Linked DNA regions of Rhinolophus ferrumequinum. The protein of the gene in region 1 purifies or fractionates together with the protein of each later gene. This does not show direct contact. Links are inferred from orthologs where the notes say so. Each region holds a gene or a part of one and is shown on either strand. Other genes may lie near its edges.

What was found.
Region 2: the proteins of PYM1 (region 1) and MAGOH purify together in Homo sapiens (co-immunoprecipitation; 8 studies listed by BioGRID and IntAct, counting the BioPlex papers as one, with this or other methods). This does not show direct contact. The link is inferred for Rhinolophus ferrumequinum from reciprocal best matches to the Homo sapiens genes PYM1 and MAGOH.

The regions. Positions count from the first base shown.
Region 1 is NC_046293.1:55,336,162-55,343,327, forward strand, and holds the start of PYM1 (partner of Y14 and mago), read right to left. Parts: upstream 3,200-7,166; 5' UTR 3,137-3,199; coding exon 2,980-3,136; intron 1-2,979. UniProt on the Homo sapiens protein: Key regulator of the exon junction complex (EJC), a multiprotein complex that associates immediately upstream of the exon-exon junction on mRNAs and serves as a positional landmark for the intron exon structure of genes and directs post-transcriptional processes in the cytoplasm such as mRNA export, nonsense-mediated mRNA decay (NMD) or translation.
Region 2 is NC_046292.1:38,088,027-38,096,096, forward strand, and holds the start of MAGOH (protein mago nashi homolog), read right to left. Parts: upstream 3,297-8,070; 5' UTR 3,206-3,296; coding exon 3,118-3,205; intron 544-3,117; coding exon 485-543; intron 1-484. UniProt on the Homo sapiens protein: Required for pre-mRNA splicing as component of the spliceosome. Plays a redundant role with MAGOHB as core component of the exon junction complex (EJC) and in the nonsense-mediated decay (NMD) pathway.

The DNA of each region.
Region 1 (7,166 bases):
CTTAAAAATAAAGTCTATTTAAAATTTTAAGAAGAAAAGAGAAAGAGGGAGGGAAATGATGCAAAAATGTTGGTCTTGGATTGGGTAGAATAATTGTTGCCTTTAACAATTGGAAGGAAATAAGGAAGGAAAAACTGATACTGATTTTGGTCAGATTGTATTTGAGGTGTGACTGAATATCCAAGAATGAAGTCTATTCACCACACGATTAGAAAAGGGAACTGGCAACTCAGGAGAGAGGCTGGTGGTAGAAATAAAAACTGTAAAAAGTTAAGGAACCAATAAGCAGTGAGGAAATGGAAATAATATGCATAGTCCTGATATTGAAGAAATTAAGCGGTGGACAGGAAAGTAACAGAAATGAAGGGCCTTGATTTTTCAATTAAATAGAAAGTGAGGTCATCTGCCACAAGAGGTAGAATGAAAAGGGTCACAGAGAGCTAGGGGAAAGGTTGGGGAAATAGCAATGGCAGAATGTAAGCAAACCAAGAAAAAAAGAATTAGAGAGAAGCTGTCATATTGGCAGACATTAAGTTATAGAGACCCTGCTAGCTTCTGTGCCTGTTCTCTAGTCATATGCTGTGGCCTAGAAGCAGAAGCCCAGAAAACAATTGATGGGTATGATTCACGATAACAAAAGTGCTTGCTTAGTATAGAAGATCAAAACGAATAAAGAAAACAATGAGGATAGTATCAAACTAGCTGGTTAGAGGTCTACCAGGGCAACATCAAGGGTAGTCGTGAAGGTTCTGGTAGACTCAATGAAGTGGAAAAGAGTTAAGAATCAGAGAACCGTAAGGAGGGCAAAATGCTGATTCTGTGGGTGTGAGGTAGTGAAAAGGGTGACCGGTAAGGAAGCTAAAATAAGTGATGAGAAGCACATGGAGGGGAAGCAGTGTCATAGGTGCGGTCCAAGTTGTAGTGACTGTGATGTGTGGCTGGTTTGAAAACACAAAGGAAGGTCAATAGTCTCATGCTGAAGAACTTTAAGATCAGAGTATCCTAAAGGTGCTGTGCTGGAGATACTGAGAATGAGAGCCAGAAACAGAGTAGAGAAAAAAATATGTGATGCCTGACCACTGCACTGTACACCTGAAGCTGAAACTGAATAATATTGTATGTCAACCATAATTTAATATATATATAGTCATGGGATATGGAGTACAGCATAGGGAATAGAGTCAATGGAATTGTAATAGATATATATGATGTCAGAGGGGCAATAGATCGGGAGAGAGGGTTTATCACTTTGTGAGGGGTGAAATGTCTATTACATTGTTTTGTACACTTGAAACTAATTAAAAAAAAAAAACAACAACAATGATGTGATAGGTCTGGGTCCTTGTGGGCAGTAGATGGCCCTGGGGTATTAGAGAAAATGTTGTAATTGCATGGCAATACCGTCCACAAGTATTAGAGTGACAGTGGTAGATCAATGATATGGAAAGAGTAAAGGAAAGCAAAAAAGCAGTGTGATTCCTTCTCCTCTTCCACATGGGTCTCCGAAAACAGAAGACACCCCTTGGTGGGAGGGTAGGGTGAGATGTGACATCTGGATTTTCGTTATATCAAATTAAGGAAACAGGTAAGAATAAAGAAGTGTACTGGAAATTAAGTAATATTTTCAAAGCACACATTAAAAGGAGCTAGTTGAAGAAGGACCTACTGAGTAGAGAGGAGAGGTTGTACCACTTTGAAGTGTGAGGTTGGAGAATGACAGGATTGTTGTCATTAGATATAAGAGAAGTGGTTTGGGATGTTAAGGAACATGAAAAAAAGCAAAGCGAGAAGCATAAATGGCACATTTTAAAACAGACCGTATGTAGCACAGTACAGACATAGTGTCACTTCCAGAGAAGACTATATATACACAATGAGGGCTACAAAAAAGAAAAAAGTGGGAGTGGCCACTTAGCTCAGTTGGTTAGAGCACAGTGCTCTTAACAAGGTTGCAGGTTCGATCACCACATGGGCCACTGTGAGCTGTGCCCTCCACAACTAGATTGAAACAACTACTTGACTTGAAGCTGATGGGTCCTGGAAAAACAAACTTAAGAGTAATACTTTGCCTTGCACAGCATTTTATAAGTTGCCTTCACATATGCCACCCTATTTGATCCTCAATGGATAGACAGTACTATGCAAATTTTTCTAAAGAGGAGGAAATTCGGATAGGACAAAACGACAATGAAAACCTTGCTTTTTCAGTTTTCAACACATAAACCTCACATACACAGCAGACACTTCAGCATCTCAATCAGCCAGGCTCGAAATTCTTCACTAGCGATAAGGAACAGTAGATTCTATCAAATTATCAAAGGGCTTGAGGCCACTAGACACCTTGCTGGTTTGCCTTCTTGCACCTTAGATCCCTCAACTTCTATCATCATCACCAAAGAAAGTAGAGAAGGGTGGGGCCATCAAGGAGAGAACTCAGCTGAAAGTTGTATTACGTTTCTCTTCCCTTCACACCTCTGTACCTCAGTGACCCAACAATAAAGATGAGGAAGAAAGTGGAAAAACCACTATGTAGCAATGAGACCTTCTACAGATACAGTTTCGAGAAAAAGAATTAAAACGTTGCTGTGGTAGGGCAGAAAGCAGGTATAACTAAGGGGGGGGAGGGGAAGGACAGGAATTGGAGGGAACTGAGAGTGTAGGAGCCCCCAAGACTGGAGAACCCAAAAGAAATATTGAAGCTTCAACTGCTGGAGAAAAGCTAAGAGCCCGAAAGGGTCCTGGAGCAGGGACCAGCATTGAAGGACCCCAGGGTTTGGGTGACCGGAAGCAGAGACCCCTAAACTCGAAACCAGAAGGGGGCGCAGGTGACACCCCGTGGGAGAGAATGAATGGGGAAGGCGGTTCGGAGGGCGGGGCAAAGGAGGGGCCCCGGGATGGGCGGGGCACAGACCCCTTTCCAAGTCCGAACCCCTGCCCCGAGAGCCCGGAGAGAAGCGGCTCCGCGCCTCCCGCACTCACCGCCGGTCTCGTCAGTTACATAGGGAGTCGCCATCTTGAAAACGCAAACCACTTCCGGCGTGAGCGGGCTGGGGTCCCGCCCCCTCCCCACCGGAAGTGGAGTTCTGATCGTAGCAAGCCACCATTTTAGTCTTAAAGAGAGAGTACACCATTTCATGACCGGAGGTGGAGAAGAAGGAAGGGAGGAATAGTAGCTGAAGACTTTAGTAAAATAAAAGCCGTGGGCTCTTTTACTGCCACTGATACCATTATGGAGCGTCTGCTGCGTGTAAAGCAGTCCTCTGGGCGCCGAGAGAAGTTCCTAAGCACAGCCCCTCTCCTCACATGCACTCTTCATCCGACCAGGACCTGCGAGGGAAAAGGGGGCAAGGCCCACCTGCACCCGGAAAGGGGGGGCTGATAGATGAGAAAAGGAAGAATATTCAGGCTCTGGCCTGCACTCAGGTCCCAAAACGGCGTGAGGGCATGGAGCAGCGCAGGCAAACTCCGGGAACGCACTGGGGCGCACTAGTGTTGTTGGAGGCTAATAAAAGATCCTCACTACTCTTTTAGAAGGTGGGCAGGTCGAAATCGCGTGCGGACTGCCCTCAGCCGCCCAGCTCAACCCTCCGGACTGAGAGCCGCGAGAGAAGGTGGAGGGCGCTGCCGGTTTGTCACCTGTCCCCGCAGTCTCAGGGTTGCCGACAGCTTCCATGCCGTGCAGGTGGTGGGTCGGGTTGGGCAGGAAGCCTGGGCCTGGCCCTGCCCTTGGGGCGGCCCGGGGGATTCAGGCGGCGAAGTGACGACTGCTTAAGTTTGCTCTGGCCTTCGGCCCCAGGAGCCTCTTCGGGCTGGGCCCCAGGGTCAGAGGGCAGCGTGAAGACTTATGGGCGGACCCAGTTAGTATTCTAATTAACCTCGTACAAGTCTCTGGGCGACGGGATCGAAAGCGGGGCAACTTGCCAATAATCCGGGCCCACATTGTCACTCCCTTTACAACCCTGCCCTGCCCTGCGCCTCCTTATTCGTTAGACCAACCCGAATGTGCTCCCTCCCCAGTTCTTCTCAATAGCTGTTGTTCCTTCAGGGCCAAATCCTGCTGAACTCGTTTCCCCTGCAGCCTGGGAGGGGCCAGCTGCAGGTTCCTTTCCTCAGGTGTCACCTCTGCCCTTCCCCACCCACGTTGCTTTTTCCTTATCAACCCGTTTACCTTCCCCAAATCCCTTACATTGGCTTAGGTTAATTCCCAACAGTACCTCTGAAACCAGGGAGGAGGATGAAAGTGGGTACTAGTGACTATCTCCAACAGAAGGCTGCGTGCCCCAGTTTAAAAAACAAAAAACTGAGAGTAGTGGCTGACTACGGACTTCCTAAGGCTTTAAAATTAAGCTTCAGAAGTTTTCTGGCGTCACAGCTTGCCTTCCTATGCTCCCCTTCCCTGACTTCCACCAGAGGCCCAACTCAGAACGTCTCAAAAGACTAAAAAAAAACTGATTGCATTCAATACACAGTTATTGTAAGTGTTCTAACACTTGCCATCCTTAACCCCTGTTCTCATCAGTTGTGCTTCATCCCTGCCAGGTCTAGCTAGCATCTTGTCCTTAGCCCTGTTACGAAGGATTAGAGGTGAGAGTGTGGGATGAAACCCCTAAAAACTAGAGGGATACATTGGTCTTGACTGTTCTACCTGAGGAGTATTAGTACTAGTGGGCTGCTCTATGGACCTTTGTACAAGAGGGAATCCTAAAGTGGCCCTTGTTAACTACCCAACGCTAGGCCCTCCACTGTGCCCCCAGACATCCTGCCTCAGCTCTGGGGTTGACAGGAAGTGAAACTCAACTGCCTGCCTAGCAGATCTGCCTGGGACCCAGCCCTGGGCCCGGATGTGCCCCCCACCTGAGGAGGAAGAGGGGAAAGAAGAGGCTGCGGAGAAGAAGGCTGTTGTTTTTTCCTTTCCCTTTGTTCGTTGTGGTTTCTTTCTTTCTGATTTTTATGATGTGGTTGATTAAAGAAATGAGCACCTGGAACTGTAGGCATTAGACGCCTCTTTCTGAGATGTTTCTTGGCCTTTCTTCCCCCCACCCCCAACAACAACTCACTTGGTGTATGATGGAGAGCACAGATCCTAAAGAAGACACAGAGAATATGACTGATTCTGTCTTGTTCCTTATTACAGAGATCACCTCATGTCCCACTTTGAAGTTTCAAAAATGTCTTAAAAGGAGCCTCTTTAACTTCATGTTGGAACATATCTGAGGATGATGGAATGAAAAACACAGATCATACATATAGGGTGGTATCACTGTGTTAATTGCAAGGAAAGCTTGATGCCTTAAGAATGAGTATCATTCCAGGATTGCTAGATGAGAGGTTCGGATTGGAAGAGGTGCTAGGGGTCTTGTTCTTTACTTACACTATATGTTTGTTTAGGATGGCTTAGAGTGGGGAGACACTATACACACACACACCCCAAGCCACTCTTTGGTGCAACCCCTAAACTAGACTATGTCTTTGGCTGTCCTGCAGAACTAAGTACAGGACCTGATGCAAAATAGAACTTCAAAAGTTTTTATGATTCCTTATGACTAAGGAGGTCATATAGGACGGGGAGATGAAGGATGGGGAGTGGCAGTGCCCTTGTCTTTTTAAGGTTGGAGGGGACACAGGAGCAGAGAGACAGACCTTCTCCAACCCATGCCTCAGATCTCCAGTTCAGACGCAACAACAATACCCTCAAACCCAATTTACTCAGCAGCTGTATTTCTGATAAAAATGGAGGAGTCTCTTCTAACAAGCTTGTCTTGAAACAATCAAGAACTGCTTAGAACCCCCTGTTTCCACTAGAGGTCCTCATGAATTCATTCCTTCTCCTCCACCAAAGGCTGTGTGTGTATTTGTGTGTGTGCACACGACGTGTACAACACACACACATATATCCTTCCAGTCAGAGCTCTCCCCTCCCCCTTTCTTCCACCACCAGGTGTAAAAGGGAAGATTCCAGGAACTCTAGACTTTGTTACTTGCCCTACTTCAATGAAGGGTAGGAAGGGGTTAGACGGTGTTGGGGCGGGGCCAGGGAGCAGGATGCCTGGGTCCCCAGTTCCTACCAGTAAGTCCCTAGGCCTCTGTTTCTCTACCTTGCTCTACCAACTTCACCACCATCCATGCTGCCACCAGAGCCTTAACTCCAGAACAGATTCCAGACTGGAGAAGCTGGAAGGATCTTCCTTCATCTTCTCTTTTGGCCAGGGCCTTCTACACCACCCACCAAGGCCAGCAGGTAAAATGGGACGGTTGGGCATAAAGAAAGGGTGTTCTTTGTACCTAAACCTCCACCCCAGGAATTAAGGGAAAGATCTGAGTCTTGAGAGAAGAAGATGTCCTTAGACTTGGGAAAACAAGTCTGAGACATTTTCGCGAGGTGAAGAACCTGGAGGTGGGCAGATTCTCACAGGTAGTGTCAAGCAGTGTGGAGCACATGGTCCGGGAGCTGTTCAGGTCTCAGGATGTGGAGTCTGGAACTCTGGCCTTGCCGCTGTGAAATCTCCTGAGTATGAATTTAAAAGTCAATGGTGGATGGAAAGCAGTTGGAAAGGGAAGTCCCCAGATGGCAGCAATTAGGAGAGGATGAGACCTTGGCTGGGTGGGCAGCGGCCAAGCTATCCCATCAACAGCCCTGCCTCCTATCTTGGACTCCAGGGTCGGAATGAAGGAAGAAGCTGTGAGTGATTGGAATGAAGGGAAAATAGAAACAGAGCTGGTCCCGGGGCGGGAAGAAAATGAGAAGCTCAGGATGTGGAGAAAGTGGCACAGACCAGAGCCCTGGAGTAGTCGTGGGAGGGGGTGGGGGATGAGGTTTGGTGAAATAGAAACTGAGGCTTCTCCAGACTGGCAGTTTCCAGAGTTGGGGGTGCCTGGCGCCGGCGGGCGGGCGGGGGTGAGGGGCGGGCAGCTGTGTCGTCAGGAGCGGGGCGGCCCAGCGGCGGCGGCGTCTGCCTGGCCCGTCCCCTCCAGCCCTGGTCGGGCTTCAGCTCCCGCGTCGTGCTTCAGCTCGGATCGCGCGCCCTCGGCAGGCAAGGTAGAGACCCCGCGAGCCCCCGGCCGCCGCCAGCCCTACCCTCACGAGCAGGAGGGGCGGGGGTCGCAGGAGGGGACTCCCCGCGGGCTGGGGTAGGGCTGCTGGGCCGAGAAGGAGGAAGCGTGACAGC
Region 2 (8,070 bases), on another chromosome or scaffold:
TTACATAAAATATCTAGTGCCAGACCTGACATCTGACATACATTCAATAGTGTTAACTGCTTCCCCATGTTCCCTTCCCCCATTCAAATGCAAATTAAAGAGTTCCTCTGAGTGCTTTGTACCAGGGAACATACCAAACACTTTATGTGAGTGAGGGGTAGGTTTTATTACTATTTGTTTCTGCAGATAAAGAAACTGAGACTAATCAAGTTTAGCCAGGGAATTTGCCCAAGGTTACATGGTTAGTAAGTAGTAGGTTCAGGGTTCAAACCGAGATTTGCAAGACATCAAATGATTACCAGTAATTGATTCAGCATTGTGAAACAAAATATAAATGAAAAGTAGATTTGAGAAAAACTTTAGAAGCTGTCTACAAACTCTATACTTCCCTATTCTTTATCTTTCAATACTACTCCCAGAAAGAACAAAAACAAGACAAAAGGCTAAGTCGTAGTGAATGAAAGGCTCTCAGAAGACTCATTACCTCTTTTCTGATCATGACATCATTTTTGTAATTGCTGTTGTTGGCATATCTCAGTTTCCCTATGAGGGGCAAAAAACAAATTCAATGTATAATAAAAACATGAATAAAACATCATTAGCCTACTAAGACAATCAGCTGTTGCTTAAAATGTATCCTAACTTTCCCCTCAAGTGTCTAACAGATTTACTCCCCCCCCCCTTTTTCTGCCTCCCCCCTCAACTCCGGTTCAAGCCGTTGTTCAGTGTAGTTGTATAGGACACAGCTCCCTGGCCCATGCTGGTATTACGAGCCTTGTGCTCCCGCCTGGCTGAGGCAGTCGGTTGCCGGTCGTTGGTCGGTCTCTCACAGCAGCTCAGTGCACCTCTTGCTGGCTGCCGGCCACTCACACTGGCCACCGGCTGCTCTTGACAGCACACAGCAGCCCAAGCCAACCTCCGGCAGCCCACGGCAGCCCAGCTCCAGGGAGAGCCGTTGTTCACAATCTTGGCTGTGGTGGGTACAGCTCACTGGCCCATGTGGGAATCGAATGGGCAACCTCAGCATTAGGAGCACGACACCCAGATTAACTATTTACACCTCTGGTGTTTCAACAGTAACAATTTTTTCAATTCTTCACTTCAGGCTATTAAATAGCCTCATAGCCAAAAATATAGCTGACAATGAATTACAGTTCTTGCAAAAGGTAGCTCAGATGTGATAAAAGAACATAGGCAGACTCTTTTGTGACAGGCACGTCATATCTCAGCTGAAAACAGGGAGAGTAACTGGGAACTTACCTACACGGAGAGCCTCCAGAGGCTCAAATGAGTTGTGAAAGCCTTTTGAAAACTGTAAAATACTGTTTACATATATTACCATGTGACTGTGCAATATTCTGATCTATTCCTATGATGGAAAAGTTGTTTTATTATTTAGCACATTTGGTTTATAAGGCCCTTTGTGCATATGTGCATTCAACGGGCTAATTTGGGTATATGGTGGGTATGAAGGAGAAGATACAAAGAAACAGAAGAGGTGATTTTTTTCCCCATAGAATAGAAGGCACACATGTAAAAAGAGCCAAATTAATTGATGCCTCACTGCACTGTTTCTCTGCCTCAAGTCTGTCCTTTCAGTTCATTCTCCCTATAGTGGACAAACTGATGTAGTAACAGACAGATCTGATTAGGTTACTCCTAATACTGTGATATGGACAGTAGCTTCCCACTGCCTTCTTGATAAAATCCAAATTAACATGGCATACTGTTAAGCTGAGCCCCCTGCCCTGCCTTTCCAGGCTCACTCCTGCAACAGTCCTCTCTCCCATAGCTGGAGTTAATCGGACTATTTGGTTTCTGCCTGAAACATCCCATGCACTTTTTGGTTTTCATTCTCTTTGCCTTAAATGCAGTCCAAAAATACCTTCTTGAGTCTCATCTGCCTAAACAACTCCTACAGCCACTAAAGACACATTCCCCCGCCCCCAAGTTATTTTATGCCAGAAGCCTGCTCTGAACCCTTAGGCTAGATTAGATGCCTTCTTTCTACTCCCAGAGTCCCTTCTGTTTCTTTCTACCACAGCACCTAAAATACTGTCTTATCATTGTTTAAAAATCTATCTCCTTCATAAAATTCAGCTTGTCAGATTCATCTTTGTGCCCCCATTTAGTGGGAGTTTTCCGTCATTTTTTATTCCTTTTCCTTCACCACTGTGGCCCCTCCCTAAATCATGTAATTTACAAAGTCCTATTGGTTCGTCCTCCAAAAGTACCCTAAATTTTTCTCTCCATTTTTACCACCCAACCAACATCGCTTTTGTCTGGACAATTGTTAACTGTCTCTTAATAAGTAGCCCTGTTTCCACTCTTGCCTATTCTGCACCCACTAATTAGCATACTTTCTCAAGCACAGATCACATCTCTTCTCTGCTTAACTTTCCAGTTGCTTCCTGTTGCACTTAGAATAAAATCCAAACTCTTCACCATGGCCTATAAAGACCTACATGGTGTGACCCCTGCCACTTATCCCACATCATCTCCTACTATTCTCCCCAGAGGTCACTACTCTCAACCATATTGGTCACCTGAAATATGCCTAGTTCATCCCTGCCCTACCGCCTTGACACTTGTTCCTCCCTCTGCCTAGAATGCTCTTCCTTCTGAGCCTCATAAGGGGGGCTCCTTCTTGTCAAACAGGGCTCAGTTCAAACATCCCCTCTTCAGAGAGCTCTCCAATGGCCACTCTATCTAAAAGCAGCCCACCAGCAATTCCATCGTTTTGCTTTATTTTCAGATCACTATCTGGACTCCTTTTTTGTTTACGATTTCTCTCCCCGCAATAGAAGTACAAGTTCCACGAGAGAGGAAGCTTATCTATCATTCACATCAATCTGTATCCCAGATTGTGAAACACAGCCTAGCACAAAGAGGGCGTTCAATCAGTGTTTGCTGAATGAGGCACGCTGGTCAAAAATGTCACTAAACAGAAGTCCCTCCACATGGACAGGAAGAGCACAGGAGTGTTCCTTCTAGATCCGCGCGGCACAGGTATCAGTCCGTTCCTCTAATTCCCCGCACATTCCGGACCCCCGGGCTCCCCACTGGCCTCCCCCCAGGCCTACTCCTAGCTCCCGGGGCGCTGGAGGCCGCTCTCACCGTCGGGTCGGAACTCAAATTCCAGGAATTCGTGGCCGAACTTGCCCTTGTGACCCACGTAGTAACGTAGATAAAAGTCACTCTCCATGGCTCGCAACAGGTAACGGAGACCAAACTTGAATACCAAACCACACCGCCACCATACGCGCCCAACACTGACGTTTACGGCGGCGCCCGGAAGTGACGTCAAGTCAACGCTATCGCCGGAAGCGAAGGCGCCGCTCCGCACCCGAGCCGGGCTGTGGGCTGAGGCTGCCGGGTCTCTCCTGGCGGAAACAATGTTCTTTTCACTCGGTGGAGGGGTCAGTGCAGCCACGTTCCCTCAGCCCGAGGCGGAAACGAGGCGGAGATTTACCCGCCGGCGTTCTCCTAGGAGTGAGGCCGACAGCCAAGCCACGAAGGGATTCAGGGCTTCGGTGAGGGGTGTGTAGACCTCGCTTCAAGACCTTGGGTTGAACACCCCGAGTCCTGCGTCCCTTCAGGCTCAACTTCCATTCAAAGGACTTGTGTGCGTCGCACAAGGCGCCTCGCGGTCTCTGGACCTAGGTCATCTCAACAGTAAAATGGGGTTAAATGACCCGTTCCCACAGGAGAACGCAGCGCACTATATGCATATGTCTAAAGTTGGCTCCGACCGAACTGGGCTGGTTAGGGACCAGTTCGAGAAAACCTTTGTCAGAGATGCTTTTCCTGAACCCATAGTGGAGACTGCCATTTCTCTGGAATGAACTTGCCCGCACGTATTTCTCATTTTCCCTCTACCCTTTGTTTCTGCCGTTCCCGTTCTACCTCACTGGTCTCTGAAGTGCGTGCGTAGAAGGTAATTTGAGTATTTGATCTCCCACTCCCCAGACATCTATGCACTGCTTACCCAGCAGGGATTTCTCAGCCCTGGCTGCACAATAGAATCACCTCGGAGCATCTGAAAAATACCGATGCCTGGGCCCCACCCCAAACCAATTAAATCAAGATCTCTCGCAGTGGACCTGGACATGGGTGGTTTTGGGTTTTTGTTTGTTTGGGGGGTTTTGGGGTTTTTGTTTGTTTGTTTTTTGCAAAGCTCCCGGGATGAGTCAGGGTTGAGAACTGCCCAAGAGGTTCTTGTCTCTTCAGGCCAAACTGGTTGACCTCTGTGAAGGATTTCTGGCTGTGGGAAATTTTTGCTTCTTGATTAGGCAAAGGGCAATCAAAATCCTAATTACTAGAACCCTGCTTTAGCTCACCTAAGTTCCAGCCAGAGGGGGAATGGAACTGGTTCTAGAGACAGTGCCGAGATGGCATCATTCTTGGGACCTGGCAACTATAACTGGATACTATTTTTGTATTCAGGCCTATAGTCTGATTCTCATTCCTAGTCTTGCCATTGTTCATTTTCTCCCAGAAAAAGCATTGGTAGCAGAGTGTAAAGTGGGTGTGATGTGATGTAAAAAAAAAAATCACTTGAGAAGTGTTAAAATAATCCTTTGTGTGATAGTGATTCACTGTGATCAAAGGTGAACTTACTGAATTTTTTGGACTTCAGATTTCTTATCTTTAAAATGAGCTTGTTATATACCTGGCAGAACTCTTTCAAGGATAAGAAACAATGTTTTGGAAATTGGAAAATACAAACTAAATTACCATAAAACCGTAAGGCATTTTATTTTTTAAAAATCCTGGATATAGGTGGTAACAAGGAAATTGTATAAAAAAGTGAAAGGAATCACCAGGTATTAAGCACCTAATAAATGTCAGCCCCAAAGCTGAGCCCATTTACAAGTGCTTGTTCCTTCAATCCTTATAAAAATCTTGAGGTAGTAACTGGAGTTAAGTATATAGAGACATCAGGTAATCATGAAGGACCTTACAAGACATATTAAGGAGTTTGGGCTAAAACCCCGGGGTATTGGGTTTTAATCTGTGTGTCATGCGCTAGGAATACAATGGTGAATAAAACAGACCTTTATAGAGCTTGCAGAGGAGGCAATTGAGCATACAAGCAATTATAATGTAGGGATCAAGGTTATAAATAGGGGAAGCACAAAATACTATGGAAGCACAGGGAGTGGCTCCTAATCCAGTCTAGGGGCTTAAGGGAAGTCTGAAGGAAATGTTCCAGAGGGCCCAGAACTGTGATTAGAATACAGAAGAGGTAGGAAAGGGGCAGAAGCCAAATCATGAGGATCTTACAAGCCCTATTAAGTAGTTTAGGCTAAAACCCAAGGGTACTGGATTTTAATACAAAGGAAACAGATGAAGGGCTTTAAAGCAGGAAAGTAAAACGGGGTGGTGGTGGCATGACCTAATGTATTCTAGAAAGATTACTGTGGCTACAATGTTATAGATTGGATTGGAAAATGGAAAAATTAGAAGTATGAAATTCAGATTAGTTGTTAATCTACGATGGTGATAATCCATGATGGTGATCTTTATGTACTCCAATAGTAGCAATGGAGATACAAAAATGGATGGATTTGAGCTGGAATACCATAATTTAAGGTGTGAGCAAAGGAGATTAAGATGTGGCCAGAGAGGTAGGGGGAAAAACAGAAGTATGGTGTCATGTAAGCCAAAGTAAGAGTATCCTAAGAAAGGAGTGCCAACAGTGTTAAATACTCCTTGCAAGGTCTAGGAAGGTAAGGAGTGAAAGTATTTACACTATTTATGATCAATGAGCTCCTGGCTGACCTTGGTAAAAAGCAACCTCAGTGGCATGGGGGTGAGAAGCAGGGCAGAAGTATTGGGATACAAGTAGGCCAAATTTGTTGTGGAAGCATAATTACCCTACCCTATGAGTTAGGTCTGGGTCTGAGAGAATGCTTCCTGGAGGAGTAGGCCTAAGCAGAGTACTCAAGGACAAACAGGAGTTAGCCAGATAAAGAGGCAGAGAAGGAAAATCGAGGCAGAGAATGCCACATGTACATGAGCGCTATGTGCTACATGTACTTTGGGGGCACTAAACATAACTATGACTTTGGGCAGTTCCTTCACCCATTTCCTTATCTATAAAATGGGAATGATAATGTTGACAGTATTTATTTCACAGATTCGTTGATGAACATTAAGGTAATTTATGTAGAATAATACTAGGTCCACACTAGGGACTCAACCAATGATTGTTCACTCCCCCCTCATTAAAGCATCACAATGAAACACTTTCAGATTTTAAAAAATGAATTTAATGTCTCTCTAGAAACAGTGCACTGATTTTACAAATGTCCACACTTGGTTTTTAGTTCACCAAGATGACGTCAATACAGCTAGTAAGATGCAACACTCCACCCTTTGCCTCTGGAAGAGAAACCAGACTGCAAAGGGGACTGAGTACAGAAACTAACGGAACTCGGAATGATGAGACAAAAAGATCAGAAATGGTTAGTGTGATCCAACATTCTAACATGCCTGTTTGCCTGTTACATCAAATATGGTAATTTGGGTGTGTGTGTGCGAGGGGGTGGGGAACAAACAAGGAAAATTCATTGGGGTACAGTGTGATGGAGTTTGCAGACCAGTACTTCACCCCCAAATTAACAACAGCTTGTATAGAACAAAATGCTATTTTAAAACACATGGTTTGTACAGGTATTTGTTTTCTCTTGTAATTTTTGTAAAAAAGTATCAAAACCTTCATGTCTTTAAATATATCTATATATACATATACAGGTGGTTCTTTTTAAAATTACTTTTTATAGCACAAAGTGTTGCAAATACAGAGGGTTTCTGCTGATTTTTGAATATGCACATGGTGCATAGCTTGAATGAAAAGAGCTTCCTGAATTATTAACTGAAAATTTGAAGCTGTAATTCTTCTACCTCTAAGTTCTCCATATCCTGAATATCCCCAATACCCTAAAAATACAGTGTGAGAAAACTGCAATCCTCTATCTTCATGCATTGATGGGAAAGTAAATAATTTACTCTGAAATGTTTTAACTGCTAACCATTTATATTCTGTGAAATGACGAGTGTGTGGCTAAAGTTAGGGAGTGAGGTGGGGAGGCTCACCTTCCTGTGCCCTCTCCCCATTCCCACCAACGCCTGACTGGACAGTGCTGGGGTTACCTCTGTAGACTCATGTCTTCAACATTTCCAGTTTTCTTTCTCACTGTTGAGAAAATCTGAGGCTCCTGACAACGTGGAGTGCTTCTGTGAAAATTCCACGGCCCTTATATTAGTTGTCATTGACCATATCAAAAAACTTCAACTCAAATATATGAAAAGCAGTCACGATTTCCCTTTGGCCACTGGAAAGCTTGAGGCTGAAGAATGCCAAGCCTGCAAAGGGCTGGCAACACATCCTGATGAAGTTTTCATGATGCACTCAGTGCCTCGTACACAATAAATGACCAAGAAATGTTTGCTTAATTGAATCAGAAATTAAATAGAAGTATTCTATAAAGTGCTTAATTGAACCTGTCTTTTCATTGAGCCTCATTTCTTGCTAAGTCTCCCTTGAGCTTTTTGTTCCTTCTAATGAATTACATGCACTTCCTTAAAGTCCCCATGCTGTTCCATGCCTCTGTGTCTCCTCTGCCTGAAGCAACTTGGACACCCCTACTTAATTTTTAAGACTTAGCTTAAGGTCACTTCTCCTATGATGCCTTTCTTGACCCCATTCCTCATCTTCTTGGGTAGAAATGATCTCTTTGTATCTTAATACTCTGAAAAGAATCTATTCTTTTTTATGTTTCCACATGTCTTCCTCTATTGCTATTATGTGCTCCATAAAGACAGAAAATGTTTGGTTGACCTGTACATCTGTAGTGCCTGACACTTAGTTGGTACCTAGAAAATGGTTTCAGTGAATTAATATACTGCAATCACAAAGAGAGAATTGGAGGGATCAATAGTACTTTTTGCCATAAATTTAAATCTGATCTCATTCCAAGGTTACAGGTTACCTCCATCTGTTTTATAAATAACCATGCTATCTAAAGTAAATAAATAAAATTTTAGTTTTCTCTGTTTCTGAAA